4 linked regions of the Struthio camelus genome follow. The protein of the gene in region 2 interacts with the protein of the main gene of each other region in a biochemical or structural test. Links are inferred from orthologs where the notes say so. Each region holds a gene or a part of one and is shown on either strand. Other genes may lie near its edges. The genes, in order: CS, HSPB1, MAPKAPK2 and MAPKAPK5.

Region 1 (6,954 bases), on a different chromosome or scaffold from region 2:
TCAGGCCTTACCTCATCCGGGTCCAGCACCGAGGTCTCGTATATTAGCCCCTTCATGCCTCTCATGCCGCCGTAGACCTGCAGGAGAGCAGGCGGGGGCAGTTAACGGCGCTGGGGACAGCCCGGCTCCCCGACCCAGCCGGGCGCCGCAGCCGCACGCCGGAGGGACGCGGCCCCCCCCGGGGAAGGCAGCGCGGCCCGGCCGCCCCCGCCGCTCACCATGTCCACCGTGATCTGCCCGATGGCCGTGCTGCCGTGCTGCTGCCTGAAGCTCTTGATCTTCGCCTGCTCCTTGGGGATCATGTTGGCCAGGACGTCCTTCAGGTTCTGGGCCGGAGGGGAGGCAGCGGAGCCGTGAGCGAGTCTGGCCCGTCCCGGGGCGCGGGCTCACTGCCTGCCCCCCTCGCCCGGCCTCTGCCCCGCAGGGGCAAAGGGGTCGCAGCAAAGGCGGGATCTGCTCTTACCGTGGCGGCACTGGCGTGACGGGCCGCGAAGAGGACGCATGGCGCGTTCTGTGGGGGAGCAGACACGGGGATTTAAGCGTTACCAGGGAAAAAGGGGCCGAGCGCCCTGCTCGAGCAGCCAACTTGCCCCGTTTCTGTAACGCTTTTAGAGTGTAAACAGGATCCGAGCACCCGACAGAGCCCGCGAACCCCCGGACGCATCCTGCGGGAGCATCCCCCGGCGGGGCCCAGGCTGCCCCCGCAGCTGCGGCTGCCGCAGGCAGAGCCCCGTGACAGCCGCCGTCTCGCAAGGACGCTACGCCCTGCAACCGGAGCCGCGGCTTCTCTACGCCCACTGGCGCACGGGGGAGATCAAACCCAAACAGGTTTCGCTGGGCTCGTTGCCGGCTGCCAAGCGCGCAGGGGGAGGGGAGCCGCCGGGCGCGCAGCCGCTTCCCCGGCCCCTTCCCCTTCCCGCGCCGCGGCGTTTCGCTCGTGCACGGCGCGGGCTGCGGCTCCGCCAAACCAGGGGCAAACCCGGCACGACCGAGTCCGGAGCAGGAACCGCTGCAGAGCGCGTTGCGCGACTCGGCAGCGGGAAGCAAAACCCATCCGGCGTTTCGCTTCCCGGCGCCTGGACCAGAGGTGGAAACGCGCAGGCTGCAAGGGCACGGGGCGGCCTGCGCCGCCGACAACGCGCGGCCGCCGGAGCGAAACCGCAGCGGCCTTCCTGCGCGCCGGCGCTGCAATCCCCCCGCCCCGGCTTGGCGGCTTTCCAGCGAGGAAATAAATAAATAAATAGATAAATAAAGAAATAAAACGATCTCTGCTCAGCGCCAAGTCAAACGCGGGGACTCCGGCCTGGCCAGCCCCCGACGAGGCCGGCGAGCTCCGGGCCTGGCATCGCGCCTCGTCCTCCCTGCGCCCTGCAGAGCCCCCCGGGACGCCGCCGGGCCCCGCGGCGCGGCCGAGCCTCCCGGCGGAGCGGGAGCGGGCGTCCGGCTCCGGGCGCCTCCGCGGCGCGAGCGGGGCCTCCGGAGACGCTGGCAGCCGCGCAGCCACGCGACTCGTTTCTCCCCTGGGGTCCGGGGAGGGAGGGAGGGCAGCGCTGCGGGGGGCCGCGGCCGAGCCCCCCGCCCCGCGCGAGCGCCGAGCCGCTCGGGGGAAGCGCGCCCGTTATTCAGCACGGGGACGGGCTGCGTCGCGCCGAGAGGGAAAAACACGGAAAGGGGCCTGGAAACAACAGAGCCGGCGGCGGCAGTGGGGGGCGCGGGGCCAGAGCCCCCCCGGGCCGGACCCGCGGCCTGCGGAGCGGCGGAGGCGCCGCGCGGTCAAGGTCACCCGTGCGAACGGCGGGACGGGCCGGGACCCGGCGGCGAAAGGGGCCGGTCTGGCTGCGGTCGCCCGGCCCGTCCGACCCTCGACCGCCCGGGCTGGCGCTGGCGACGCGGGCGGCCGGCGGAGGAGCGGGGCCGCCCGGCCCGGCCCGGCGCGGGGGCCAAGTGGGACACCACGACACGGCCAGGGCCGGGGAGCGACAGAGTCCCAAAATAAAGCGGCGGTCGATGGAAACGCTGCGGCCGCTGTTACGAAACCGCCGGGGCCGAGGCCAAGGCGAACGGGCTGAAGGTCCCGGCCGGCTCCGGCGCGTTTCCTGCGGGGGCCGGCCGGGGGGCTGCCCCCCACCCGGGGCCGGGGCCGGAGCCCCCCGCGAGGGCCCCCCCCGGCGTGACCCCCATGTCCTCTACGGCGCGGGCGGCGGGGAAGGCCGCGGCGGGCCGGCAGCCCCCGCCATGGGGCCGGCAGCCCCCGCCATGGGGCCGGGACCCCCCTGCACCCACCTCTCCCCTAAATACCGGGGGGGGGGTGCAGCATGGTGCCCCGCATTGGGGGGGGGCAGGGAGTCCCCAAAAGGCAGGTTGCAAAGACAGCAAGGAGCACCCCGAGCCCTCTTCATACGGTGGGGGCAAATATTTGGGGGGAACCCCCCCTTTTGGGGGGAAGCCCCCAGTGAGGGATGCGACAGGGCAGGGAGCCCCCCCGGAGCCCCCCCAATAAAGAAGGGGGGCGTTGCAAACACGGCAGGGAAAGCAGCCCAGATGCCCCCTCCCAAAACGGGGGCTGCAAGCACGGCCGGGAGCCCCCGAGCCCCCCCCCCAGCGGGGCCTGCAGCAGGGCACACACCCCCAACCCCCCCCCGAATAACCGGGGGAGGGGGCGACAAGCATCGCCCGCAGCCCGCCGGGGGCTGGCACACCGGGAGCGGGGGGGGGGCCGCCCCCCGCCGGGGCGGACAAAGCGCGGCCGCTGGCGGCGCCACGTGCCGCCCCCCCCCCCGCCCGGCGCGGCCCCTTTAAGGCCTCGCCCCTTTAAGAGTGGGCCCCCCGGGGCGCCACCGCCCCCCCCCGCGGCGTCGCCCCTTTAAGGCGCGGCGCGGCCCGCGCCCCTCACCTTGGGGCCGCGGAGGCGCGCGGCCGCCCGGCTGCCGGCGGCCAGGAGCGTCATGGCGGGCGGGGCGGGCCGGGAGCGGGGCCGGGAGCGGGGCCGGGGCCGGCGGCGGGTGCGAGCGGCGGCGGCGGCGGCCGGGGGGTCCTCGGCGCGGCGGGCGGGGCGGGGCGCGGCGCGGCGCTGCGTAGGTTATTAGCATAGCACCGCCCCCGCCCGCCCCCTCGGGGACGGGCCCCTCGCGATTGGCCGCGCCGCGCGCGGCGGGGCGGGGATAGGCAAATGAGGCGGCGGGGGCCGGCCTATAGGTGGCCACCGCGTTCGCCTGATCCGCGGGCGGTGCCGGGGCGCGCCCGGCAGTCCCGCCCCGCCCCCTCCCGTGACGCCACCCGGCCGCTGCGGGTGACGTCATGCCCCGACGTCACCCCTCAGAGCCCGTTTGGGGCTCGCTATCACCCCGATGCTGCACCAGGCCACCCCGTGATGTCGCCTGTGACAGCATCCACGCGATGGTGCCGCGTGCAGTGAGGTCACCAGGGCCCAGTGACGTCACCCACCCGTGACATCACCGCGGGACGCAGCCACCCTGTGACCTCCCGCCGCTCCGGGTGTTATCGGCGGACGAGGGGCCGGCGGTCCCGCGCTCGCCGTCCCCAGCCCCGGCACGTGGGGCAGGGCCAGGCCGGGCACGGCCGCGCGTGACCCCGGGGCCGCGGCCGGACATTGCCCCGGCGGCGCTGGCAGCGGGCGCTGTCACTCGGCCGCCGCAACCCTGGGCCGAGGTGACGTGGGGCGGACGCGCCATGTGGGCTGAGGCGGCGGGGCAGGGCCGGGGGCCGGGACCCCCGCGGCAGCCCGGCCGGGGACGGGCAGAGCGGAGCAGGGCTTTCATCAGCCTCTCCGAGTGGGCTGCGGGTGCTGCTGCCCGGGGACGTCCCGCTGCGTGACACCTCCCGCGGGAGCTGCCGCACCGCCCGGCCCCTAGCAGCCACGGGACACCCACACACACGGGAGCAAGATCGGCCGCCACGCGGCCACTCTTTATTGCCCTGCAGCCTGGAAAGAGGCTCTTAAAAAACAGGCGGTGAACAAACCCAGCCCTGGTGACGGGCTGCTCCGGTGGCCCCGGCCGCGTTCACCCGTGCGGCACCAGCCCTGGCTGCGGCCCCTCACAGGGCAGCAGAGGACGGTCCCTTGCTCGGAGCCTGCCTGGAGACACGGGAACGGAGCAGTGTGCCCACGGTCACGGAGAAGCCGCAGGAGCAGCGGGGAAGCCCGGAGCCCTGGCCCCCAGCAGCCACTGAAACGTTCCTGTTAGGAACAAGGCCTTGGGGCAGGGCTCCAGCCTCCCGGGGCCCAGGGGTCCTCCCTGCTGGAGAGCTGGAGCGGGCGGTGGGAGTCCCCCCTGCGCTCCCTGCCGACCCTCCCAGCGCCACACTTACAGTCGACAGACAGTAAAATAAATAGGACGAGAAAGCACCAGACTAGGAGAGACGTCTGCGCCCAGCTCCAGAGCCGCAGTCTTCCTTGGGGCACGTCTGTCCGCCTCCCTCGGGAGGGGGGAGAGAAGTGGGCACAGAAAAGGTAAACTAAAGAGGTAGGGGACGACCTTCCTCCCCGACGGCTACGAACGTCAGCTACGGACGAAGCTCGCGTCGCGCTGTCCGCCCCGGGGACAGCTCGTGTCTCCAGGCAGGTCTCGGGGGGCCCCTCGGGCGCTGCTGGCAGCGGGGGGACGGTCAGGGAGGCGTTGGTCCGGTTGGTCCGAGGCAGCGAGGGGCAGCCGCGTCACAGCTCGTCGTGAGGGATGTGGAGCGCGTGGTCGCACAGGTCTGCAGCGACAAAGGCCAGGCGCTCTCAGGAGAGGAGAGATCCCAGTCCCGGCTCATGGGCTGGGTGCTGGGGCGCGACGGCCCCAGGAGGGCCAAGGTGCATCCACCCCCAGGACCGAGGCACATCGGGGGAGCCTTTCCCCAGCTGCGCAGTGACAGCGCTGCCAAACGCCTGCCGACAGCCAAGGGGCAAGGGAGAAGTCATGTGCAGAGCGCCTGGCCCGGGCAGGGCCAGGGAGCAACTGGCACAGCCGCGACCCGCGCGAGGGGACGCCTGCGCCCCCCTCCTGCTTTGTTCTCTGGTTAATGAGAAACGCAGCTGTTTGGACAGAGCTGTCGGCCCGGCTTTTCACCTGGAACCGCCAGCAGGAGCAGCACAACAGACCTGCTCCAGCTTCAAGGTAGGCAGGACACTGGCCACGTGCACCAGGCCCGGGGGGGCTGAGCTGGAAACAGCTGCCAGTGGCGCATGAACACGGTGCCCCCAAAACGGGGCCCTGCTTGGGCAGGAGGATTTTGCCCTCTGCCAGTGCGGAGGTACGGGAGGGACCTGCCCAGCCCTGCAGCCTCGGTGCAGGTAACGAACGCGGACCACGTCCATTAATAGCAAAGCACAAAGGTCACAGCGTGCCCTAAGCCCTCTGTTTGCCAGCTAGAAATAGCTCTGCGGGAAGGAAAGGGAAATGCCCTGTGGGGAGCACCTGGCAATTGGCTGTGAAAGGAGCCCTGAGCCCGAGCAGCCAATGGAGCCGCGGGCGCAGGGGCCTGTGGGGCAGCTGCCGTCCTGGCTCCCTCCCAGAGCACGTGGGCCTGGCCGGCGCTGAGCATCCAAAAAAAGCTGCAGGCAGATCAAAGAGGCTTTGGGACTCAGGCTCTGGGCAGGCAGCACGGGCGGCTGGGGCCTCGCATGCAGACACCAGGCTCCTGGCCTGGCGACGGGGCTGCGCTGTGGGTCCGAGGGCTGGATCCCAGCCCTTGCCCGCTGGCACTGACTTGCTTTCCAGAAAATTTCACCTAAATACAAGGAAAAAAGGGGCCTGGCCAGCAGGAATGGGAACAGAAAGCCCGAGGTGGGAACCTCAGAGAAGGGGCAGTCCTTTTACTCCCCTATGCGGCCAAAGGAGGGGGGTGCCCCAGAGATGACCCTGAGCAGCCAGAAGTGTCTTCTACCCTCAGGGCTCTGCTGCCTCACAAGGGACGGACGGACGGATGGACAGAGAGCGGACAAGCCCCCTCCCCAGGATGCCCCAGCCCGACTCACCTGTCCGCTTGCTGCAGAGCCGGTCCTTGACGTTCTCAGCCTCGTGGGACAGGAATTCGATGAGTTCGTCCTCGTACTCCTCGGCAATGCTCTCACACTGCAACGGGAGCCCCGTGTCGGTCGCCTGGCTGCCTCCATGCCAGCGACCGCGCAGGGCCAGGCAAAGCTGACCAGCATCCAGGGGAACCCAGAGCCAGGCCCTGCACCCAGCACTCCCCACCTCAACAGGGGAGCAGAATCCCTCCCTTCCCAGCTCTGGAAAGGGTCAGGGGAGGTGGCCAGGAGCTGCCAGTGAGACCAGCTGCTTCATCCCAGAAGGACTGCGGCTGCCAAACCCAGTGGGCCTGGTTACCTAAAGCCTCCCTGGAGCCCCAACAGACACTGCACAGGGCACGCTCCCCGCACATACCGCAAACTTCAGACTAGAAGCCACATCCCCATCGATTTTGACCCCGGAGAGGTCCATCTTGGTCCCATCATGGGAGATCACGCGGACATAAGTCTTCCGGTGTGTGGATGGATCCACTTTCTCCCCGTATTCCTTCATCTTCTCGCACACCCGCTCCAGCAGTTCTGTCAGATGCGCCTCTGACCGGGCATAGGGCACCTGCGGCACAAGGATAAGATAAGCGGGAAACACTAGTCCAACCCCTCCCTAATCTCCCCGAGTCTTTACCATGCAGCTGCTATTCTGGTCAGGCCTTGCTAACAGCCAACTCCCTCTTCTCCCGCAGCCTCGGCCTGAAACCACCCCCCGAGCCAGAAGCACACCCCAACTGGGAGACGCCTCACCTCCACGACTGACTGGCTGCCGTCAGGGTTGATCCGGAACGAGCCCATCTGGATGGTTTTCTTGGGGTCAACCTGGGCGATTTCCCACTCCAGCTCATCCACCAAGGCCCGGCATGCTGCAGACAACGGAGAAGTCACTGGCTTGGAGCGCTAAGGACAATTAACTGACCCTGAACTTTAGC
Region 2 (6,788 bases):
CTGGGATATCAGGGGCCCAGGATGTCAGAGACCTGGGATATTGGGGACCTGGGATGTTGAGACCAAGGATCTTGGAGACCTAAGATAATGGAGATGTTGGATACTGAGACCTGGGATATCAGGGGCCCAGGATGTCAGAGACTTCCTGGGATGTTGAGACCAAGGATCTTGGAGACCCAGGATAATGGAGACATGGGATATTGGCTATGTGGGATATTGGAGACCTGGGATATTGGAGACCCGGGATATCAGAGGATGGGGAAGGCGTGAGTGCAGGCAGGGTCTGTGCCCCATCCAAAAGCTGTGCTGGACCCCGGCAACACCCACACGTGCCCCGTCATGGCCAGCACCACCAGCTCAGTCAGCCGTGCCGGAGGGGAGCCCAGGCGCCCACGGCACGGGTCCCAGCCCGGTGCCCCCGCGGCACGGGTCCCAGCCCACCAGGCCTGCTGCCCACGGGACGCAGGGCACCAGGCGGCTTTATTTCATGGCTGTTTATTCCGATTGATTCTACTTTTTTCTTCTCCTTTATTTGAGACACGCAGTGATGGGGTGAGTACAAAATACAGAGTAAAAAGGGGGATGAAAGCGGGGGGTGGCGTGAGGAGCTATTTTGTGCAGGGCAGCGGCGCAGGCAGCGGCTTCTCTCCCTCCTTCTCCTCGGTTCCGGCTACTTCTTGGCTGGCTCCTCTGCTTTCTTGCCTTGGCTCTCGACGGTGACGGGGATGGTGATTTCAGCGGACTGGATGGCCGGCTTGGGCAGGGGCGCTTCCACAGTGAGCATGCCGTCCGGGGAGAGGGAGGAGCGCACGGCCGTGGCGTCGACGCCGGGCGGGAGGCTGCGGGCAGGAGAGCGGGGGTCAGCACCGTGAGGCCCCGGCCCCGGGGCTTTTCACAGCCCCAATTTTTTTTGGCTACGGTCCTCCCCGTTTGGGCTAGCAACAACCCCAGCTCGCCCAGAGGAGGCACCAGAGGGGATGGGGCAGGACCTGGTGGATGGGAGAGGTGCCCAAAGGGGTCAGGGGCTGCCAGGGTCCTGTCTCACTCTGGCACTTACGTGTATTTTCGGGTGAAGCAGCGGGAGATGAAGCCGTGTTCATCCTGCTTCTCCTCGTGTTTCCCTGGAAGAAAAAGAAAAGCCAGGACAGGGTGAAGCCTGCTGGCGGGGCACCGCGGCGGGAAAGGCCTCTGCATTCAAGGGTCCACCATGCCCAGGGCAGCACCCTGGTGCGGTGCCTCGGGGAGGCGGGGGGCCAGGTGGCCCCCCCTGGCCAGGCAGGAGTGGGACGGGTGCTGCGGGGGGGACGGCACGGGGGATTCACCTTTGCTCCCCACCGAGCCAGGGACGGGCACAAGGCGACAGGCAGTGGGTTTCTCTGCCTTGACAGCAGGCCGGAGCGGCGCTGTGCAATGGCAGCGGGGGGTTTCCTGGGCTGCCCTCCCCTTCCTGCATCCCCAGCACGGGGGACTGGGCCTCCACGGGGACGTCCCCGAATCCCAGGGCCGCGAGCTGCTCCTGGCAGCGGGGACCAAACCCGGCTGCAGGGGTGGCAGCCCAGCTCTGCACCCCAGCTGGCCCCAAGGCCTCGAGCGGGGCGCCCAAATCCCACCGGCTGGGGGACCGCAGCCCGGACCCCGCCGGCGCTGCGGGGTGGGGGGTAAACGCACGGGGCCGGCCACGGCCGCCAGCCCCCAGCTGCCCACACCGTCGCCCCGCCGCTTCCCTCCGCTCGCTCGGCCAGCGAAACCGGCCGCTGCCGCGCGGCGAGGACTCACCGGTGATCTCCACGATGTTGTCCTTGGTCTTGACCACCAGCTCTTCGGGGGCGAAGTGGTTGACGTCCAGGGTGACCTTCCAGCTGTCGGCGGTGTGGCGGATCTCGGAGATGCCGCTGCTGAGCTGCCGGGTGAGCGCCCGGCCGTAGGCCGAGCCCGCCGCGGGCACCAGCGGGCTCTCGCTGGGCAGCAGCCGGTAGTAGCCCGGCCAGGCGCTGCCGCTCGGCCACTTGTACCAGTCCTCGGGGATGTGGGGCATCCCGAAGGACTGGTCGAAGAGGCGGCTGCCGTGGTACCAGTCCCGGAAGGGGTCCCAGCTGGGGCTGCGCAGGAAGGTGAAGGGCACGCGGCGCTCGGCCATGTTGCACGGTGCGGAGGGCTGCCGGGGCTGCGGCTCCTGCCGGGGCGGCGCCGGGGGCCTTATGAAGAGGGCGGGCGGTTATTTTTAGCCAGGCATCTCAGCTGGCTATTAATGGAAATTGCAGCAGGGGCCGGGAAGGGCCGAGAAGCGGCCGGAGGAGGGCCGAGGAGGCGGGGGGGGAGGAGGAGGAGGAGGAGGAGGAAGCCGGCGCTGCCAACTTTCCCAGGCCGGAGCGGCCGCGCACAGCCGCCAGTGCCCCGGCACCCCGCGGCCTCCCCGCGCCCCGGCAGGCCGCTGCTCCCGGCCTCTCCCGTTAAAAAAACCTGGCAGGGCGGCGGGAGGCAGCGCGGCGCGCCGGGGCCTCAGCCAGCAGCCGCCCCCCCCTCCCCCCCGGCGCTGCCGCTGCCAGAAGCTTCTGGAGCGTCGGAGGCCGGCGGCGGCCCGGCCGGCAGCCGTGCTGCTGCCCTCCCGGCCGCGGCACGGCGCCCCTAAAGCCAGCCGGCTCTGTCCGAGGCGGCCGGGGGGGGGACAGTCCCGGCCCCAGGAGGGGCTGCCGGGGGCTGCCGGCGGTTGACGGGGGGGGTGACAGGGGCTGGTGACAGCTCATGGGGCCAGTAGGGGCTGGTGGGGCTGATGGGGGTTAACCGGGGCCGGTGGAGGCTGATGGGCGCCAGAAGGGGTTGGTGGGGCTGATGGGGCCCAGTGAGGGGTCAGTGCAGGTAGATGAGGCGCCATGAGGGCCGATGGGGCTTGACGGGGGCCAAAGGAGACTAACGGGGGCTGCCGGGGGCTCGGAAGGCCCAACGGGGGCACTTGCGGCCAGTGGGGCTGATGGAGAGCGATGGGGGCTGAGGGGGGTGGTGGCCGCTCCGGGACAAGGGGAGGACGGCTCCCTCCCGGAGCCCTTTGCCCTCACGTTCACCCTCCAGCCAGGGAGGCCTGCCTGCCGCCTGGAGAGCGATGCCGAGACCCCCCCCCCCCCATCCCCTTCCCAAATCCAGCGGGACCTTCCAGGCCCCCCCCCCCCCGGCAGCCCCCCGCCGGGGAGGTGCCTCCCCAGGGCTGAGCTTGGACTTCAACCTCAGGCCACCTTTTCATTCCTCCCCCCACCCCCAACTCCCCTCCCAGCTCGCTGCAGCCTCAGCCCTTTGCTTTTGAGGCCCAGCGCTAAAATTTCGCCTCTTCGTCCCATATTTTGACCCATATTCTGCCTATGAATCAGTTCATGGCAGCCCCAGAAAACCAGGTCCCGGGGCCCGACGAGGGGTGAGGCCAGGGCGGCGGGAAGGAGGCTCTCGCCCAGCGGCCTGTCCCCGGCCGACACCAGGGGAAGGGGTGTAGCTGAGACCTGATGCACTCACTGCAGGGATGCACGAACACAGAGATCCCCTCCCAGCAGGACGCAGGGCACTGATGGGGCCGTGGTGATGACCGGAGAGGGGGGGATGCCCTGGCAGGGGTGCAGATTTTGGGGAAGGGGAAGGAGGGGGGGGTCCCCCCATGACCACCGCAGTGGGGTGCCAGCACCCACCTCCACATGCTGCAGCCGCTGGCAAACCCTTTTGTTTGGGGAAGGGGAGCTGCTGGGAGAGCCGGCGTGTTGCCATGGAAACCACGCAGAATTGGTGGGGGGGGGGAATGGATAAAAGCAGCCGAATCGGGTAGAGCTGGATGCGGAGGGCCGCATCCTGCCGGGGAGCTGGCAGGGAGCCCCGTGGGGACGGGGGGAGGCGGTAGGCGCCGGAGGGGCCGCGCGGATGGGAGGGAGGCGAGGAGGGAGCGCGACGGGGCGGCGGGGTGGGGGGGGACGCGGAGGCCGAGCAGGGAGGCAGAGGACAGAGCGCCGGAGCCCGGGAAGGGCTGCGGCGAGACAGCGGGGTTAACGCCGTGCCAGCCCCCGCGCCGCGGCCTCGCTGACAACAACCTGCTCCGGGCCCGGCAGAGTCATTTACAATATATACTGTATGTTTTATTATAACTGAACCAGCTCACCGAATCTACAGCTGTACTCACAATCCGGAAAAAAAAAAAAAAAAAAAACCCAAGAGAGAGCGCGCGCGCGCGAGGAAAACACTGAAGTATTCCTGCGGAGTATTTGTTCCAGTTAGCTCCCTCCGCGGGCAGGAGACAGGGACTGTAAAAGAGGAAGACTGGAAATTTTCCCTGATGTGCTGTCTTTGTCGGTGCTGGCGCTGCAGCCGGGTTGCTGTCGCAGAGCAGGACTCGGGCTGGCGGGGGGGCTCGGGGACACCACCGCCGGGGACAGGCGCTGGGGTTGGGGGGGCGTGCAGGCGGCAGAGCCCCCCACCCCGCTCCCCGGCCGCTGCCTCTGCTCAGGAGGGGGGTGAAGAGGGAGAAGAGGCCAAAATTGCAGCGTTTTGGGGCGCACGGGGTTGCTGGCACAGTGTGTGTCCAACCTAGGCGCCTTGTCGGGGGCTGGCAACGGCCCTCCTCAGGCTGGTGTAAAAATGCCACAAAATAAACCCTCTCCAGTGGTTCAAACTCTGATTTTTTTTTTTTTGTCTCGATCAGGCATTTTGGGGCTCCCACAGGCAGTCTGAGACCGGTGCAAGGCGGCAGCAGGAGCCCACAGCTGAGGCTGCCCCTGCTCCAGCGCAGCGGGCGAGCGGGTGCAAAACGCCCCCGCAACCTGTCCAGGAGATGCTGGCGGGGCTGGGGGGGCTGCAAGGAGGAGACGAGCCACGGTGCCAGCAGGGCACCGCGCAGGAAACCCACAGGGACCGGGGAGGGCAAGGCACGGCCCGACCGTGCTGTGCTGCCCGGGGCTGCCACGCTGTGGCTTGCAGAAACATCATCCCTACGAGCCCTTGCGGCTCACCCTTGTCTCTGCATCGCCCAGGCCCACTGCACCCCCTTCTCCAGCTTTGCAACGGGGCATCTCGGGACATCGGGCAGGCCAGGCCCACAGACAGCTGGGGCAAGCTGGTCCGCAGCCGCCACGGTCGCCAGCGCCCCGGGAACGCCCCGTCCCAGCCAGGGAGCCCTGCGCAGGGAAGCGAGGGGTTATGCCACGGCACTCCTGCCACCTGCGCCCGGCCGGACCGTGTGCCCCAGCACGCTGCCGGGGTGCTGCCCTGCCCGGGGCTTTCAGGTTAATATGCTGGAACAAGCCAAGCAATTGAGAAACACAATCGTTTCTCCTTCTTACCTGTTAAATCCATTTCTAATTGCTTTTCTTTTCTGGGCAATTGGTTCAGCTCCTTTCCAGATCAGGCGCACCAGCCTGGAATCGCAATGAGGCCCCGTCTCTCCCTGGTCCCTGCCCAACCTTCAGCACCTCTGGGAGGTATCTGTGAGGCTTTGTCACGTCCTCGCACAAAGGAACATTTGCCAGGAAGCAAATTTTGCTGCAGACAGCAGCCACCTCCAGCGGGGGAAGAGGGTCTGCTAGCTGAGCAAGTGCAGCAGGACTGGCTGCATGGAGAGACAGGCTGTGAAACCACGGAGCTTGGCTCAGGAGATGATCCAAGCCTTGGAGATAGTTCTCCAAGGTCTGGTGAATTGTCCTGGCCTCAGCACAAACATTAGTCACTGCCTGCCTAGAAGGAGCCAGTTTCTCAAAGCAGCCTGTGCTGGGCTTGGAAGATGAACCTGAGGCTCTTGTCTCCGTACCAAACAGCTGTGCCCAGACCCTCCCCCTTTCATCCCACCCTGCTTGGCCCCAGGTGCCCTGGAGCACCTCCATCACCCAACCCCAAATGCAGGCCCCTCTCTATCCTCCCAGCCTGACTCCTCTGTTTCTCAATTTGGCTCCGTTTCTCCAGTGGCAGTTTTGGAAAGGGGAGTACAAGGGACTCTGCTGGCTGGGCAAACCGTGACCACCCCCGCCCTGCACAGCAGCGGCCGGCCCCAGATGCAATCCTGGCTTAACTCATATTCCTGCCTCCTGAGACCTTCAATTCATCATGCAGTAGCCATGGACTAACAAAGCCTTTGCATTATAGGCTGAGCAGGATTCAAAAAGGATGACCTGGTCCTACCAATCCCCTCGAGCCAGCCAGGCAGGCTGGAAACTAATGTCAAGAGAGATTGACAAAGCCCAGCTTTCAATCTGGGGGCAATGGGTTAATCCGGGCAGCTGCTCTCTCCACCAAAGGAGGCTCATCTGTATCGTCTTTCTCCAGTGAGGCAGAAAATGCGTGGCCCATGCAGATTAAATGCAAACAGCCCCAGGGTGCTGTCATGCAGGAGCAAGCCCTCCTGCCGTCCTCAGCTCCTGGGCAGCTGAGAAGAGCTTTTTGGAAAATCAACAGAAGGAAAGCTCTGCAAAACCAGGGCTACCAGCTAGCATCCCAGCTCTGCCGCTTCTCAGCAAAGTCCCATACTCACGGGACCCTCCTCCCTCTCTTTTTGGAACCTAAGCTGACATCCAAGCTGTGTCCTGCTGCTGCTCAAGGAGCTTCAGCAACTGCCTGGCCTAGGCTGAGAGAGGGGAGGCAACGGGACCGGGAGCCAAAAGTGGCCATAGTGGCTGGGGCAGATCCTGCCTGCTCTGCACTGCTGTGTCCTGCTCACCTGTGTCCTTCACCACCCTGAATTGCAGCTACCCCACATATGCCAACGAAGGGCAACCAGTGGCAGCATCATCCAGAAAGGGAGTCGAAGCCTTCAGTGAGGGCTGTACTTCCTG
Region 3 (7,258 bases), on a different chromosome or scaffold from region 2:
GAGGAGAAGCCCGGGCGCACGCGAGCCGCCAGCGGACATGTTCCATCGCTGTCAGGCAGGAACTGTTGCTGCCGAGTTTCTCCTTCCCCTTTCCGCAGCCGCTCGGGACAACCCCCCCTCTCCCCCCCCCCCAAAAAAAATATTAAAAGAAAGAGGAGAAAAAAAAAAAAAGAAAGAAAAAGAAGTAGAAACACTACTACGCCGCGGAGATTTGGGGAGAAGCAGCGGGGCGGACGGTGCCGCCGGGGGCTCCCGGGGCGGCGGCGGCGGCGGCTCCCCCCGCTGCCCGGCGGCTGCGCTGCGCCCCGGCCCCGCTCCCGGCCCCGCTCCCGGCGCGCACCTTAAGGGCGAACTTCTCGCCGCTCTTCTTGCTGAAGATCTCCAAAACTTTCCCGTTGATGCCGAGCCCCAGCACTTGCGTGGTGACCTTGTAGTCGTCCGTGATGGCATTCTTCCGGATCTGGAGGCCGGCCTTGCCCGGGAACGGCGGGAACGGCGGCGGCGGCGGCCCGTGGGGGGGGGCGGCGGGCGGCGGCGGCGGCGGCTGCGGCGGCGGCGGGCTGGGGAAGGCGGCGGGCGGCGGCGGCGCCCCGGGCAGCATGGCGGGCGGCGGCGGGCCGCGGCCCGGCAGCGGCGGCGCCTCCGAGCCCGGCCGAGCCCCGCGGAAGCCCCGGGAGGAGCGGACGACGGAGGAGGAGGAGGAGGAGAAGCCGCCGCCGCCCCCCGCCGGTGCGCCCCGGCCCCGAGAGCCGCGACGGGAAGAGGAATCGCTCCGGTGCGGCGGGCTCGGGCTCCTCCTCCGCCTCCTCCTCCTCCGCCTCCTGCTGCTGCCGCCGCCGGCGCGGCGCGGCGCGGCTCGGCTCTGATGTCAGCGCCTCGCCGCGGCCGGCCCGGCCGCCGGGGGAGGGACGCGACGGGGCGGGCGCAGGCTGCCGTGCCCACCGGGCGCCAGGGCAAAGGCGAGGGATGGGAAACCGTCCCGGAAGAGAGAGAAAGAGGGGGGAAAAAAAAAGGCAACAGCAACAAAAGAAGCATTCTGATGAGAAGTTAAGCCCCATTGCCGTGTTCAACCCAGAAGGCGAGGCAGAAGCTAAGCTGGGCTAACAGATCCTGGCTGGTTCGTGGCTGAACTGCCGGGCAGCCAGCAAAACCCAGGGGACTCTCCTTCAGCTGCAGCAAAACGGCAAGTCAAGGTTTTTAACACAAAGCGGACAGCCTGCTCGTCACTAATAATCCTCGTTTTCTAACTAATGAACGCACTTTTATGACATTCATTCCCATATTACCTGGCTCTCCCACAAAAAGCAATGAATGCGACCTGGAGGAAGACAGAAACATGCCCAGAGCAACACTAGAAGCAAACAGCAGAGTCTGGAATAATTTCCTGCGGCCCAGGCAGTGATATTTTGGCAGGCTGTTTTGTGCACATCCGCACACGCACCCCTGCACTGCATGGCCACCAGCAAGCGACGGATGTGCTGGCTCAGGGAGGGGAAGCAGGACCCGCAGCGCTGCCTGGCACGGATCAAGCGGTGATCAGCAGGTCTGCTGGGACCGCAGATTCGAACCATTCACCTGCACAGATCTCACTGCCGTCAAAGGTGCCAAAGGCAAAGAGCTCTGGAGGCCCCTCTGAAACGCACTGATGGAGGGTCCTGGTGGACACGCATCAATGTGGTAAAAGCCACCAACCCCATTCATCCATACCGACGTCTGCAAGTTCACAGGGGTCCCCAGGGAAAAACAAGCCATGGAAACAGGACTTCCCTCTATCCTCAACGTTTTGTTTTCTATTTTTGACTAACAGAAAGCAATAGCAGAAGAAACCGGCTTAAGCATTCATGAGAGAGAACACATCATACCAGGCCTACAGCATGCCAGAGCCACACCGAGTCCTCCAGAAGCGACTGCCACTGGGAGAAAGAAAACATCTAGCACCCAAAAGGGGCAGGACAGCAGAGCAAACCGTGACCTCTACGGGCACGTCCACCACAGGGAGAGGCACTCGTACCGGAGCAGGACACATCTGGTCCGTGTCTCCCAACCACCTCCTGCAATCAATAAAATCCTTTTATTTAGGATTTATTTAGGATTTTACTTAGTCAAGTAAGTATAAAAAGGTCAGCTCATGCTTTCCGAAAGCCAGCGTCTTAACAGAACCACTGATCAATAGTTGGATGGAACAGCAGACTCTGCTAACGAGAGCACGTCGTCTCAGGGAGAGGCCGAGCGGCCGTCAGGAGGTGGCAGCGACAGTCGCCAGATGGAAGGAGGAGTGAGCCGACCTCCATCGCCCGGCAGCGCCACAAACAACTCGCCCCGAACAAGGGGCACTCCCTGCTTCGGGACCCGAGGTTCCCTCTGAAGTCCCCAGCGCCTCGGGGGCCGTTGTGGAAAGTGATTTTCCTCCTGGGAAACCGGATCAGCTCCGGGACGTGGCAGCGTCTCCCAGGACCCGAGCCCTGCTCACAAGGCGGCTTGGGGCAGGAGTTAGAGCCCGCTGCTTTCTAGCAACGGCTCATAGAGAGCAAAGATGTTTTAAAGCTGCCGGCACGCTTTGCAGGGTTTTCCCACCGTTTCCTTCTCTTTACTCGGCCCGTTTCAGCATGTCTGTGGAAATTAACCTTTAAGGCCAAGTTTTTCTTCACAGAAGAATTTGTGGGCAAAGGAAAACCGTTGACCCACGTTGCTACTCTGTTTCCTCTGCTTTCACTCATGTTTACTTTGTAATCCAGTCCTTCAACTATTTCAAAGATAAACAACACTTTAAAGGATATATACGGTCTGGAAGCCCCATTTCCCAGGTTTCCCATGGAAACCTCCTCGATTGCTCAGCTGAGGTCAGGGCACCAATGTGCTGCGTGCCATTAATGGAAGTAGGAAAGGACAACCCTTGCCCTCCAAAAGCTTGGACACCAACTACGCTACGCATAAGGTAGATGGGCAGGAAGGACAGTTTTTCTCTGTTTTACAGATTGGGTTGCGGTGGGTAGAAAGAAATGAAATGGCTTGCTTAGTGTCGCACTGTCCATCCCTCTCAATTCCCCCCTCCGGGGGTTTTAACCCGCCTGCATGCCCGGCACGGCTTTTAGCCCCTTTCCTGCCAGGGGAGGCACCAGGATGCGTGCCCCGGGCCAGGAGCTGGCGTAGCCCAGAGACGTAGGTTTAGCAAGGAGAGGGACCGGGAGGCCCCTTTTCGGCCTCCCTCTGCGCCATGAGACTGGTGCTGATGGAGATACACGCAGGCACTGGGCTTTTGGGGAAAGAACGAAAAAAAAAAAAAGCTTAAAAAAAAAGAAGGAGGAGGATATTTTGCTTCCGTGCAGGCATGACCGCAAGGCAGAGAGCGCGTCTGCCAGGTGCAGGCAAGCGCCGGCGGGGACCGGGGGCGGCAGCGCCGCGGCTGCCGAGCCCCCGGCCCGAGCTGGGTGCGCGGCCACCAGGTGGCCCCCGCGGCCCGCCGTGTCCCCGCACCGTCTGGGAACAGGACGCTCCTCGCGTTCGGGGGGGGGGGGGGGGGGGGGCTGTTTTCAGGTCCTCCAGCAACCCATTACAATCCGTCCGTCGGCTATACCTAAGCCCCAAGGCACAGCCCCGGCAGCCCCGAGCCGTCCGCCTCCCCGGGGATTTCTGGGAGCGGCGGGACGCGGAGACCCTCCGGCGTTCACCCGCTCCCGAGCGGGCGGCCTGGGTCCACCGTGGGAGCAACCCCTTCTGCACGCCCCACCAGGAGATCCCGGTACTTCAGCCTTTGCTACTAAAAATATAGATATGCATATATCTATATTTTGCACATTTTAAATATATATTATTTGCACATTTACACATTTTAAATATATATTATAGATAGATACATACATATATATCTCTCTCTCTCCAGAGCCTCTGTCCGGGGTTTGAGATTGCTCCTGTGCAGGGGTGGATAACCTGCCCTTGCCGCTGGGGTGTGGGCCGGGGGTGTAACTGATCTCTGCCACCTGTAGCATCAGCGTCTCTGTGATTAAACACCCCCCCCCCCCCCCGCTGCAAACAGCCTGCTGGAAGATGACAGTGCAAACATGCAAAACCCTGTGGCGCGCTGGGCTAGATCGGCAGGTAGCGACTTCTGGGAGCCCCCAGACGGGCAGCCCGTCCGCCCAGAGCAGCGCCTTCGCAGGCGGTGGTCTCAGGCCCAACTTTTCCTTCCCCCCCCAGCCTCCTCCCGGCCCCTCTCCGCGGCGTTTGTGCCCGTGACGGGTTCACGAGAGCGGCTCGGGGCACGCGGCGCCCGCCACGCCGCTCCTGGGCCCGCAGGACAATTAGGCGGCTGCCGAGGGGGAGCTTTTCCCCGCTTCCTTTCCCATCTCCGTCAGGGAACAGGAAGCAGCCAGTGCAGGCTCAGCCTTTGTATCTACGTGACACAGCGGCTGATCTGCTCAAGCTCTTTCCCTGGCGAGTAACAAACTAGATGGTTATTTGATTATAGCGGAGTTACCCAGAAAAATAGACCTGGAAGATTAGGGTAATGATCATTAAGGCTGCATGCATCCTGTTCTTCTCCCCGGGTAGATTGGTACGAGCACGGCACTGGTGGAAAGCTATCCCACTTAAAAAAATGATAATGCGTTTAAATAATCCTGCATGCTTTTAGGATAGGGGTAATTGAGTTGGAAAGATATTGTTAATCCCCATTACAGCTACTAACGCTGCTGTTAAAGCAACGGGAGCGCCGCAACAAGCTCAGGAGGCAGCAGCGGAAGCGAAGCGCTGCCAGCCTTGCCTGTGCCGGCGCGGGCGGCCCAGAGCCCCTCCGACGGCGCGGGCGGCCCGCGCGCGGGGCCGGGCTCCGCGCAGCCCCCCAGCCGGCATCCCTCCCTGAAGCGCGTCGCTCCCGTCTCCGAACGGCCGCATCCCAGGGCTTGGGATGCATCCCGCGGCCCTCGGGCACGGTTTGTGCCTATGCGTTTACAGCGCGCGGCACGGTCCCGTAGGGTGAAAGGCGGCGGGAAGGAGCAAGGGGTCCCCGCGGGGGGAAGCGGGCGGGCGGCTCCCGGGCTCGGCTGCCCCGGCGGATTAGCGCTCTGGCCGGCCCCGGCATTGCTCGCATGCCCGGCGGGACGGCTCCCCGAGCCCGGCACGCTGGACCCGCTCCACCCAGCACACGGAGCTCCTAATCGCGAGACTTGCCAGGAGGCAACGCTCGGGATTATCCGCTCGAGTGACGGCTACAGGGGTTTTCCCCCTCGCCCCTGGCTCGCAGGGGAACGCGCAGAGCGGGGAAGGACAGAGCACCACGCGGTCCCGGGCCCTCCTGAGGGCTCTCTCGTTTAATAACAGGCCAGCGCAAAGTCCTTTCTTACGCAAGACTACGTTCCTGCTCCAATATCCACGGGGCGGATTCTCAGTCCTTGCTTATACGCTGCACACGGCCAGCTCGGGCCCCGCTCCCGCCGTCTCCAGGGAGCGTGCAGCCCATTAAAAATGAGCAGAGGCCACCAGCGCTGACCTGCTACGTTGCTTTTCTCTGTAACATCGGGATTTTTCCATCTCTAATAGGAAACTGAATCCTGATTCACTGCCCACAAGATAATGCTAAACGTACTTCCTTACTCAGGGTCACAAAACAGCACCACTCAGAAATACAGGTCTTTAAACATCATTTGCTTAGACGAGGACGTATTCCAGCTGGCAAGTGGAAACACGGATCGCACACAGGAAAACGAAGCTTGCAGGCAAATGCCAGGTGCTGCCTGGCGCGCACCTGAGCGCGGGGACAGGCCCGCAGCGGGCATCGTGCCTCCTCTAGCCTTCCCCTCGCTTTTCCAAGCACAGATTTCTTTTTTTTCCTTTTTTCTTTTCCCCCTAAGCAAATTCACAGCCGTGCCAGTACAGCAAGGAAGCCGGATTTCAGAGCAGACCGAGACCCTCAGGAGTTTGGGATAAAAACTGCTCCCACACGTTTGGGTCGCCAGCGGACAACACGTTAATCCTGCAAACCCCCCCTATCTGCTGCTCTGTTTGCCGCATACGCGTGGCCCCAAATCCCCGCTGTCCTGCCAAGGGGGAGGAGGCGTCTGTGCAACAAGATTATGGAGATCAGCTCCGTTAGCACAAGCAGCTCCCCGGGCCGGCCCTAATCCCGCAGGACCCACACGGTCCGGGCCAGGCCGCCCCCGTGCCGGCGCTCCCGGGCCACCCCGACGCGGCCGGTGGCTCTCAGCATCCCTTGCACAGGGCAGCTCAGCTCCCAGCCAGCTTTTAATTGCATGTTCAAGGCTACAAGCCGAACAAACCGCCCCCACGGCGGGGACCGCTGCCTGCAGGCTAGTGCATAGACCCGGGGCGTTGTATAGCCAAAATCAAACAGCTCAGCTTACCCACGATCCACAACCGGAGGAAAACACCGTGCTGAGGGTCCCACCACGGGCAAGCCGCAGAGCAAGGAGCTCTGCACACAGCCCTCGCCCCTGCACGGCCGCCGCTGCCGTTAATGGCACTGGTTGCCAATAACCAGCAATCAGGCCTCGTTTGCAACGCGGACTGCCCAGGTGCAGATGCAGGCTGGCCTGCTGCAGAGGGGGCAAGGGCTCCCCGAACGCCACCGAGGGAGCGACGAGAGGCCTCGGCACGAGGCCAGCCACGCCGCGGGGTAAGGAGAGACGCCCCAACCTGGGGGACGTTCAAGGCATGTTCTGTGGCCTCGGAGCAGCAAGGCCAGCGCGGACCGTCCCCGTGAGCGGCACCAACCCACGCTCGAGAGCCGGACGGGCCCGTTCCCGGCAGGGGCCGGGGGCTGCCGGGATTGTACTGCTTTTTGGCGCGGTGGAAAACCACTGGGGCCGCCGAGGGCCGTCAGGGGCGGCCGGCTGGGCGCTCCGCTCCGGGCAGCTCCAGGAGCGAGGCGGCAGCATCTGCGCTGCCCTTTCCTGCATCACGGATGCCCGTAGGCACCGACAGGGAAACGCGGCAAACGGGCTGACAAAAAAAAGCCTGAACTGCTTCCGCACAAAGGTCGAAGCACAAGGGCCCTTCGCAGCAGCGCTCAGAGCAACTTTCGGAAAGTGGCCCCGGCTCCTCGTGACTTTGCCGCTACGCAGGAACGAGCGAGGGACGAAGACCAGAAGCTGGGAACGGATTTCACAAGGACCGTCTTATCAGCTGCAGCTACTTAGACATAATTAGCAGTGTGCATGATGCATCACAGGCTGGTCTGAGTTTAATAGAAAAAAAAAATCATCGAAGACTATTTATAAAGCTTACTGCCATTCCTGTACGTTTC
Region 4 (6,955 bases), on a different chromosome or scaffold from region 2:
ATTCAGATACAGAGAATTGAAATCCTCACAGGTGCAATGAAAATACAATTTTAGAAGTACATTATAAGCTGAGAAAAGGTTCTTCTGAAATGTGAAGTACATTCCCAGGACACGCTTTCGGGATTGCACTTACTGTCCAAGTTTGAAGAAAGTCCAACCACTGAACTGGAGAAGCTAATGCCAAAGCACTCTGGAACCACATCTTGATTAAATGACAATTTTTAAATTATTTTTTATGTAGCTTTGAAGTCTGTTGCTCTTGTTTCAAAAATGAAGGGCCTGCATACCCACCCTAAAACTTACCTAACCTTTTCAACTATACAGGTAAGTCTAAAAAGAGATACTGTCTATACATACAAGCCTGGGCTTGACTTCTGCTATGGCAGAGAGACCATTTTTTCCGTTTGGACTGAGCAAGTTGAACCCTAGTAACAGAGGAGCTGATTAGGAATTGGCAAGTTTGTGATCTATGAACCAAAAGGAGGGAGAGAAGATCTGATATTTCTCAGCACCTGAAGGGTAAGGTCAACAACTACAAATAGTAAGTCCATTTTTAATTAAAGTTAATTTATTTCCTCCTGCATATTCTGGGCTTTTAACAGTGGTTTAAATAAGAAAGCCAAAGTTCACTGTTTTCTGCATTTTTATAATTTATTTATTCAAAGGCAGCTTGACAACTTAGAAGCAAAAAAAAAAAAAAAAAAGAAAGAAAAAGTCATGAAGAAACATTATTCACCATCTCCTAATGATAGGAAATATATAACTTGTGAACTTTAATATATACTAATCTATGGAGTTGGCTAAACTCCTTCTAGCTCACAAATGCAAGTTCTGAGTCTAGCATCAAGACTGTATTTAGCTGCAAATCAACATGTGTTCCTAACATTCAAACAGCATGAAATTTTTAAAACGTACAAATATAAATTTGCCCTCTGAAAATATTAAAATCTATTTCAATTGATTAAGCCTAAATGCCTTGCCTTCCCATTTAGGGTAATGCACTATGGATGCAGGTAGCAGAAGGCCCCGTATTCTGTACTTAGCTCCACATCTGGAAAATAGCGTGCCTTACAGTAGCACTGCTGCACAGCACTGAACTTGTAAACTGGCTGACAGGTCAGCTGGAACTAATCTGCTGAGGCTGGGAATAGAGGAGGCAGAAGAGTGCTGGAGAGCACACTTCCAGGGGGAAAACAAACAAACAAAAAGCAAAAGAACAGGCAGTGGTGTAATTTTCTTACTGTAAACTTTTGTGCAGCTACTAGTGTAGGAATTTAAAGATCATTCCTTACACTAATTTCCACTGGGGAAAAGGAATAAATTGATTTGAAATGTATTCAACTGAAAAAAAAAACCACACACACAAATTCTACAAGTTCAACACTCTTCAATAGCACAATTCCCTTTCAAAAGCTCACGGTGCCTAAACCAATGGTTTGGGTATCCTCTCACGCAGGATCATTTGTCTGGGATGGCAATGGTTTGGAAAGCTAGGAATGCAGTTTCTCCTAAGTTGATCAACAACAGAGAAGCTGTTTTCAGACACACAGCTCAGCATGCCTCAGGCCTGCTCAGCGGAAAGTTCAGGTGCTTCTCGGTTTCCACTGAATCCCAGTGGAAAAAGGTATGACATAAAAGTACTTCAAGAACAATAACACATTCTTAAAGTTGATTAAAAGTATATAGACTGCCATTTGGACAAATGCCACATATTCAACAAGTGATATGCAAATAATCAACGTAACTGGTTCTCCTCTGCTAAACTGTTGGCCTTTCAACTTCTGCTAGTTCACATTAAACGGTGATCACAGTCTCGAATCACAGAACTTAAACCTGCAGATGCAGATGCAAACCAACCAAACTTGAAACAATAACTGAACATTAGCAGAACAGAGGAATCAACATGATGTTTAAACAGACTAAATTATATCTCCGATTCGGACAGTGCCTGTCACCCAAAACGTTCACCCAGAACCTGTTCTTAGCCAGCATCCTCCAGAGCGAGGGGAGCAAGGCAGATAGGAGGCTGTCCCTACCCCTGCAGGACAGTGGCTTTCCTTGTTTGTTGTAAATCAAGAGCTATGATATAAATCATTATCTTTTCATGAAATATCACTGAAGTACTTGACAGAACACTCACTCGGAAAGCCTTCTGGACAGCTGTTTCACCTGCACTGTGCTAAGACTGATAACAAAGTGGGAGGGCTCAGTACACCACTCTGGTACTTGACCCAGTAGTTTCCTCACAATTTGGAGTGCCGAAACGTTATGCCTAGACTCCCTTCCACTTTTGGCTTTTTCATTTCAAAAAAGCAAGGCCCGTACACTTCTAATCAATGTAGAGTTCAGCAATATAGGACTGAATTTCAACATCCCTTTTTCACCTCAGTGAGCTACATACGGGATAAATCCCACAGCCAAAGATAACACAGATGAAGGAAAAAAGTCAAACTCCAATACATTAGCTCTTTTTTAATCTACCTTTTTCTAGAATTCATTTGCCTTATTAATTTAAGTATTTATTAAGGCAACCAGAATCTGCGACCGGGAACATTTTGTGCAAGATAAACTTGCAGAGTCTTTAACACATTGTTTTACTGTCAAGACGGTCCCCCTGCTTTCCTCAGGGAACCCGCTCAGTCGGGTCACAGAAGGATTCACCAGGAAGCGTTAAGCTCATACAGCGATTCTTGCTGTTCAAAGGAACAAAATTTGGGGGGGGGGGGGGGGGAAAGGCAAAGCCTGGATCGGCGGAGCTGCTCTGCCACCCCTCCAAACGCAAACACCCACATTTGTTTTCATGACAGCGCCCGAACGGGAAGGCGGGGAGGCACCGAGGCGGCAGAGCTGCCCCCGCAGCCGGCAGAGCCCCCGGGACGCGCCGCCCCGCCGCGCGGCACCGGCCGCCCGCCCGCGCCCTACCTTGATCGTCTTGTCCATCTCGTGAGCCTCCGACATCCTCCCGCGGCGGCCCGGGCGGCGGGGGCCGGGCGCCGCCCCCGGCGAGGGCCGCGGGGGGCCGAGGGCCGGCGCGGCGGGGAGGGAGGCGGCGGCGGCGGCGGGGCCGGGCCGGGGGCACCGGGGCGCGCTAGGCAACGGGCAGCCCCGGAGGAGCCTTTGTGCCGCCGCCGCAGCGCCTCATCGCCAGCCGGCCGGGCCGGGGAGGAGGGGGGGGGGGAGCGGGGCCAGGAGCCCGCGCGGAGGCGGGGCAGCGCCGCTGCGAGGGCGCGGGCGGGCCCAGAGCCGCCGCTCAGCCCGGGAGCCGCCGCCGCCGAGGCGTCGCCGCCACCGCCGCCGCCCGGGAGCCAGGCATTGCCGGCACCCTGAGCGGGGCACACCCGCCGGGCGGCGCGCCCCACCGCCGCGCTGCCGCCGCCGCCGCGCACGGCGCGAGGAGCCGGCCCGGGCCTCCCGCCTCCCCCCCGCTCCGGCCGGAGAATTTTAGGAGGCTCCGCGGCGGCGGCCGCGTCGTTTACAGGCGTCCGCCGCCGCCCCTCAGGGCGCGACTCAGCCGGCAAAGCCCCCCAGCGGGGCCTTCCTGCCGCGGGCGCCTTCTGATGACGTTACACCGGGGGCGGGAGCAAAGCTCCCTTGGAGGGGCGGGGCCAGCGCCTGCCTCTTAGCCCCGCCCCACCGGGCCCCGCCCACCATCGGGAGAGCTCGCGAGAGCGGGGTGACGCGAAGCCTCGCGGGAGTTCGGGGTGCGCGCGGTCTCGCGCCGCCCTGAGGTGATAACGGTCGCTGGCCGCCTGAGGGGAGGCAGCGCGGCGTGCGCGGCGGCGCGGCAGCGGCGGCGGCGGCGGCTCTCTGCTGTGGCCGCCACCGCCTCGGCCAGGGCGGTCGGAGCCGCGGGCCCAGCTCTCCTCGGGGACGGGGGAGAGGAGAGCAAGCCTGAAGAAGCCTCTCTTACCGTATCACCCCAGCGCCCTTCGGCACCGAAGGAGGACACCTCCCCCTCATAGCATACCCGGCTTCCAGCCCTCCTGATTTGCACAATATAGCTCTTAAGCGTTGACATTTCAGGAGTTAAATCTAGTTCCCGCAAGATAAAAGCGACTCTCAGCGCAGCTCCAGCACACTTTCTGAAAGGCACTTGCCAAGACACGGAAAGCCAGTGAAAAACCTTAAAAGTTGCCCGAGTTTAGAGCATCGATGTGTGGAAGAAAATACGAACGTGTCCATATACTTGAGTTTCTGCTTCATTCACAGACAAAAAAACTGCAGCAAAATTTAAGACTAACTGTACTGAGAGAAGACTGTTTTATTATGAGTAGATACAGTGAGAGCAGATACAAGCAGCTGAGAACAGACTTTTACTTCACAAATTCATGCTGAGATGTTACCGTCCTACATTACACAATTGGTTCTCAGTCCATTTTGCTTACGGAAGAGGGATGTAGGTGTACAGGTTAAGGAGTAGCTGTTTGCTCATGCAGCTAGCTATGAAGGCTACTAAAAAGCCTCCTGCAGATTAGACAAGCATTTTTCTTTAAAAAAGCACATTCTTAGATCCAGGTGCAACAAGAGTAGGCTTGTGTAATGCATTAGTACTCAATTGCCTGTATTTGGTATTTTAACAGGTTAAAGCCAAGTAATTTTTTAAACAAAAGCTCCTTCAGGCACCTTCTACAGAATCATTTCTTTAGAAGTTACGTGTGGAGTGACATGTTCTCCACCTAAGTTTTGTGTATCTTAAGAAGAGGGTTCCTTGCTTTGTATCTCCTGAAGCTGCGTAGGTCAAATGCATGGAGAAACTACTGTCCTTTATGAGTTTTTCTGTGGAATTTTGATTGTCACCTGGAAAAGAAATGTCACAAGTTAGTTTCCTGTAACTGGAGACAGGGCTCAGTTTTGTTCACTGGCGAGCAGAGAGGAGCAGCATTACGCAGGGGAGAACAAGAACCAGACGCCAGTATAAACACTGTTCCCTACAGCCAGTGCATTCCCGGCACACGCTCCTTAGGGAGGAATTCTGTTCTCCACAAAATAAATTCACAAAGGAGTCAATACACTTACATTCTTTACAGTAAGAAACAGCTAAAGTGATCACTTGAAGACAGGGCCAAGCGGTGCAGGCAACTGGTAACTAAGACCCCTAAGTTTTATTCCAACTGTGGAATTAGGTCACATATCCTTATTTTCCTCAGCAGTACGAAACAAGACTAGCTTTCTGTTTGCATACAGTTACATGGAGTTTTGTTTGCAGTTATTTAGAAGTGCAGCTCCAAATTTGTTTCAAGCATTAGAAAGAAGAATTGCAGTCTCAAGCCAGCTTATACCAACAGGCTCATATACAATTTGGCAGTACAGCAGACAGTTGGGAAGTACTCAGATACCTGGATACTCACACTTTTCACCTCTATGTATGCATCAAGACCATATTCTCCCAGCTCTCGCCCATTCCCAGATGCTTTGTAGCCACCAAATGGGGCTTGTGCACCGAACACATTATAACAATTTATCCTGAAAAGGAAATAAACTGTTAAGCATCTATAGTTTCAGGACTGCTTAACGGAAAAGTCCTTTCTCAGCAAACAGACATCTCAGTTGTTTACAAGAGAGGTGCAACTGAATTTCCATCTGTTAGACTGCCAAGCCAACAGAGTTGATCAAGAATACCGGACCCTTAATCAGGACAAAACAGTTTCCCGATCGTCAATCAGGAAACAAAAGATCATGAAACCAATTAATATCTCTCATATCATAGGACCAAGCGTCCAGGTTGCCACCCACATCTCCTTTTAAGGACAGATATCAAGCATGTACTTCACTTAGTACCATTCAAGTTTACTTGCTACCAAACACTGAGATACTGATGTCCAAAACTGCACGTGCTGGAACAGTAAACTGGTGTTCGAAGTATTGCCTTTAGCATAGTCTCCGACACAAAGTACCAGCAATTGTAGCAGCCAAAATTGCACAGACACGCTCATGATCTAATCACTACTGGCACTCAAAGCCCAGTAGTAGTTGCCGTCTTGGCAAACTCTAGTACTGGAACTTTTTTCCCACGCCATTCATTAATTCCCAGGAGGCTCGTGGAAGCTCAATATACCTAAATTTTACCAAAAGTTGGCATTAAAATTCAAGGTCTGGCGTTATATTCAGTGAAGTACATGTAAAATTGGATCTGAAGAAAAGACAAGCTATCAAAGAGTAAGCTTGAATGAGAAATCACAACATAGAGGAAAGCTTCTGGCAGTTTAGAGAGAAGGAGGAAGTGTCGAGGCTCACCAAACTGTTCCCGCTCGCAGTGCCTGAGACACATAGTTTGCTTTGTCAAGATCTTTTGTAAAGACTGCTGCTGCTAGACCGTACTGGGAGTCATTTGCTCTCTCAATTACTTCCTCGATTGTTTTGAACTTCAGGATCTGCATGACTGGCCCAAATATCTAAAAAATCCAAACAGATCACATGAAAATCTGTGTAAATCGATCCCAGGGCAGGCTGTGGTTGATGCTGGAGTTATGTATGCATGTTAGAAGTTACATAGGAGGTCAAATTCAAAGTATCAGTGCGGTCACTTCCAGTATTACAAAGCAGCCAAGATGTAATCTGGAGTGTAGCTTGCTGTGGTAACCTTCTAAGAAGCACTGAGTTCCTATTTCCACTTGCAGCTCATGAATGTCTAGTACTTGTAGAGCTGTTTCTTTTTGCATCAGAAGGGGCAAAATGAAAAGAAGTGAGAAGCTGACAGAAAGATGCTGCAGGTCTCACCTCCTCTCTGGCAATCGTCATGTTGTCCTGCACGTCTCCAAAGACAGTTGGCTGGATGAAATAGCCTCTGTCTGCAGCAGGATTGCCACCACATAGCAGTTTGGCTCCTTCACGCTTCCCAGTATTAATGTAACCAAGTATCTTCTTAAACTGCTCCTCATCTACCTAGAAGCCATTCAGACAGACAGATCAGCTTCATCTTTCCTGGGGGTGAAAGAGAATTCTACTGCAACCTGCT

What was found.
Region 1: the proteins of HSPB1 (region 2) and CS form a complex in vitro, tested with the Homo sapiens proteins (2 studies listed by BioGRID). The link is inferred for Struthio camelus from reciprocal best matches to the Homo sapiens genes HSPB1 and CS.
Region 3: of the proteins of HSPB1 (region 2) and MAPKAPK2, one has a biochemical effect on the other in vitro, tested with the Homo sapiens proteins (17 studies listed by BioGRID and IntAct, with this or other methods). The link is inferred for Struthio camelus from reciprocal best matches to the Homo sapiens genes HSPB1 and MAPKAPK2.
Region 4: of the proteins of HSPB1 (region 2) and MAPKAPK5, one has a biochemical effect on the other in vitro, tested with the Homo sapiens proteins (4 studies listed by BioGRID and IntAct). The link is inferred for Struthio camelus from reciprocal best matches to the Homo sapiens genes HSPB1 and MAPKAPK5.

The regions. Positions count from the first base shown.
Region 1 is NC_090969.1:473,448-480,401, reverse strand, and holds the start of CS (citrate synthase, mitochondrial), read right to left. Parts: upstream 3,012-6,954; 5' UTR 2,948-3,011; coding exon 2,894-2,947; intron 512-2,893; coding exon 464-511; intron 327-463; coding exon 219-326; intron 78-218; coding exon 12-77; intron 1-11. Other genes in the region: CNPY2 (protein canopy homolog 2), read right to left, coding at 4,676-4,719, 5,981-6,077, 6,390-6,587, 6,773-6,888. UniProt on the Homo sapiens protein: Key enzyme of the Krebs tricarboxylic acid cycle which catalyzes the synthesis of citrate from acetyl coenzyme A and oxaloacetate.
Region 2 is NC_090957.1:14,555,475-14,562,262, forward strand, and holds HSPB1 (heat shock protein beta-1), read right to left. Parts: upstream 2,528-6,788; 5' UTR 2,138-2,527; coding exon 1,777-2,137; intron 1,122-1,776; coding exon 1,058-1,121; intron 840-1,057; coding exon 671-839; 3' UTR 505-670; downstream 1-504. UniProt on the Homo sapiens protein: Small heat shock protein which functions as a molecular chaperone probably maintaining denatured proteins in a folding-competent state. Plays a role in stress resistance and actin organization.
Region 3 is NC_090965.1:7,856,397-7,863,654, reverse strand, and holds the start of MAPKAPK2 (MAP kinase-activated protein kinase 2), read right to left. Parts: upstream 3,015-7,258; 5' UTR 1,036-3,014; coding exon 759-1,035; intron 617-758; exon of another isoform or gene 602-616; coding exon of another isoform or gene 526-601; coding exon 341-525; intron 1-340. UniProt on the Homo sapiens protein: Stress-activated serine/threonine-protein kinase involved in cytokine production, endocytosis, reorganization of the cytoskeleton, cell migration, cell cycle control, chromatin remodeling, DNA damage response and transcriptional regulation.
Region 4 is NC_090958.1:18,348,337-18,355,291, reverse strand, and holds the start of MAPKAPK5 (MAP kinase-activated protein kinase 5), read right to left. Parts: upstream 3,015-6,955; 5' UTR 2,959-3,014; coding exon 2,923-2,958; intron 1-2,922. Other genes in the region: ALDH2 (aldehyde dehydrogenase, mitochondrial), read right to left, coding at 4,765-4,797, 5,349-5,463, 6,235-6,392, 6,718-6,882. UniProt on the Homo sapiens protein: Tumor suppressor serine/threonine-protein kinase involved in mTORC1 signaling and post-transcriptional regulation. Phosphorylates FOXO3, ERK3/MAPK6, ERK4/MAPK4, HSP27/HSPB1, p53/TP53 and RHEB.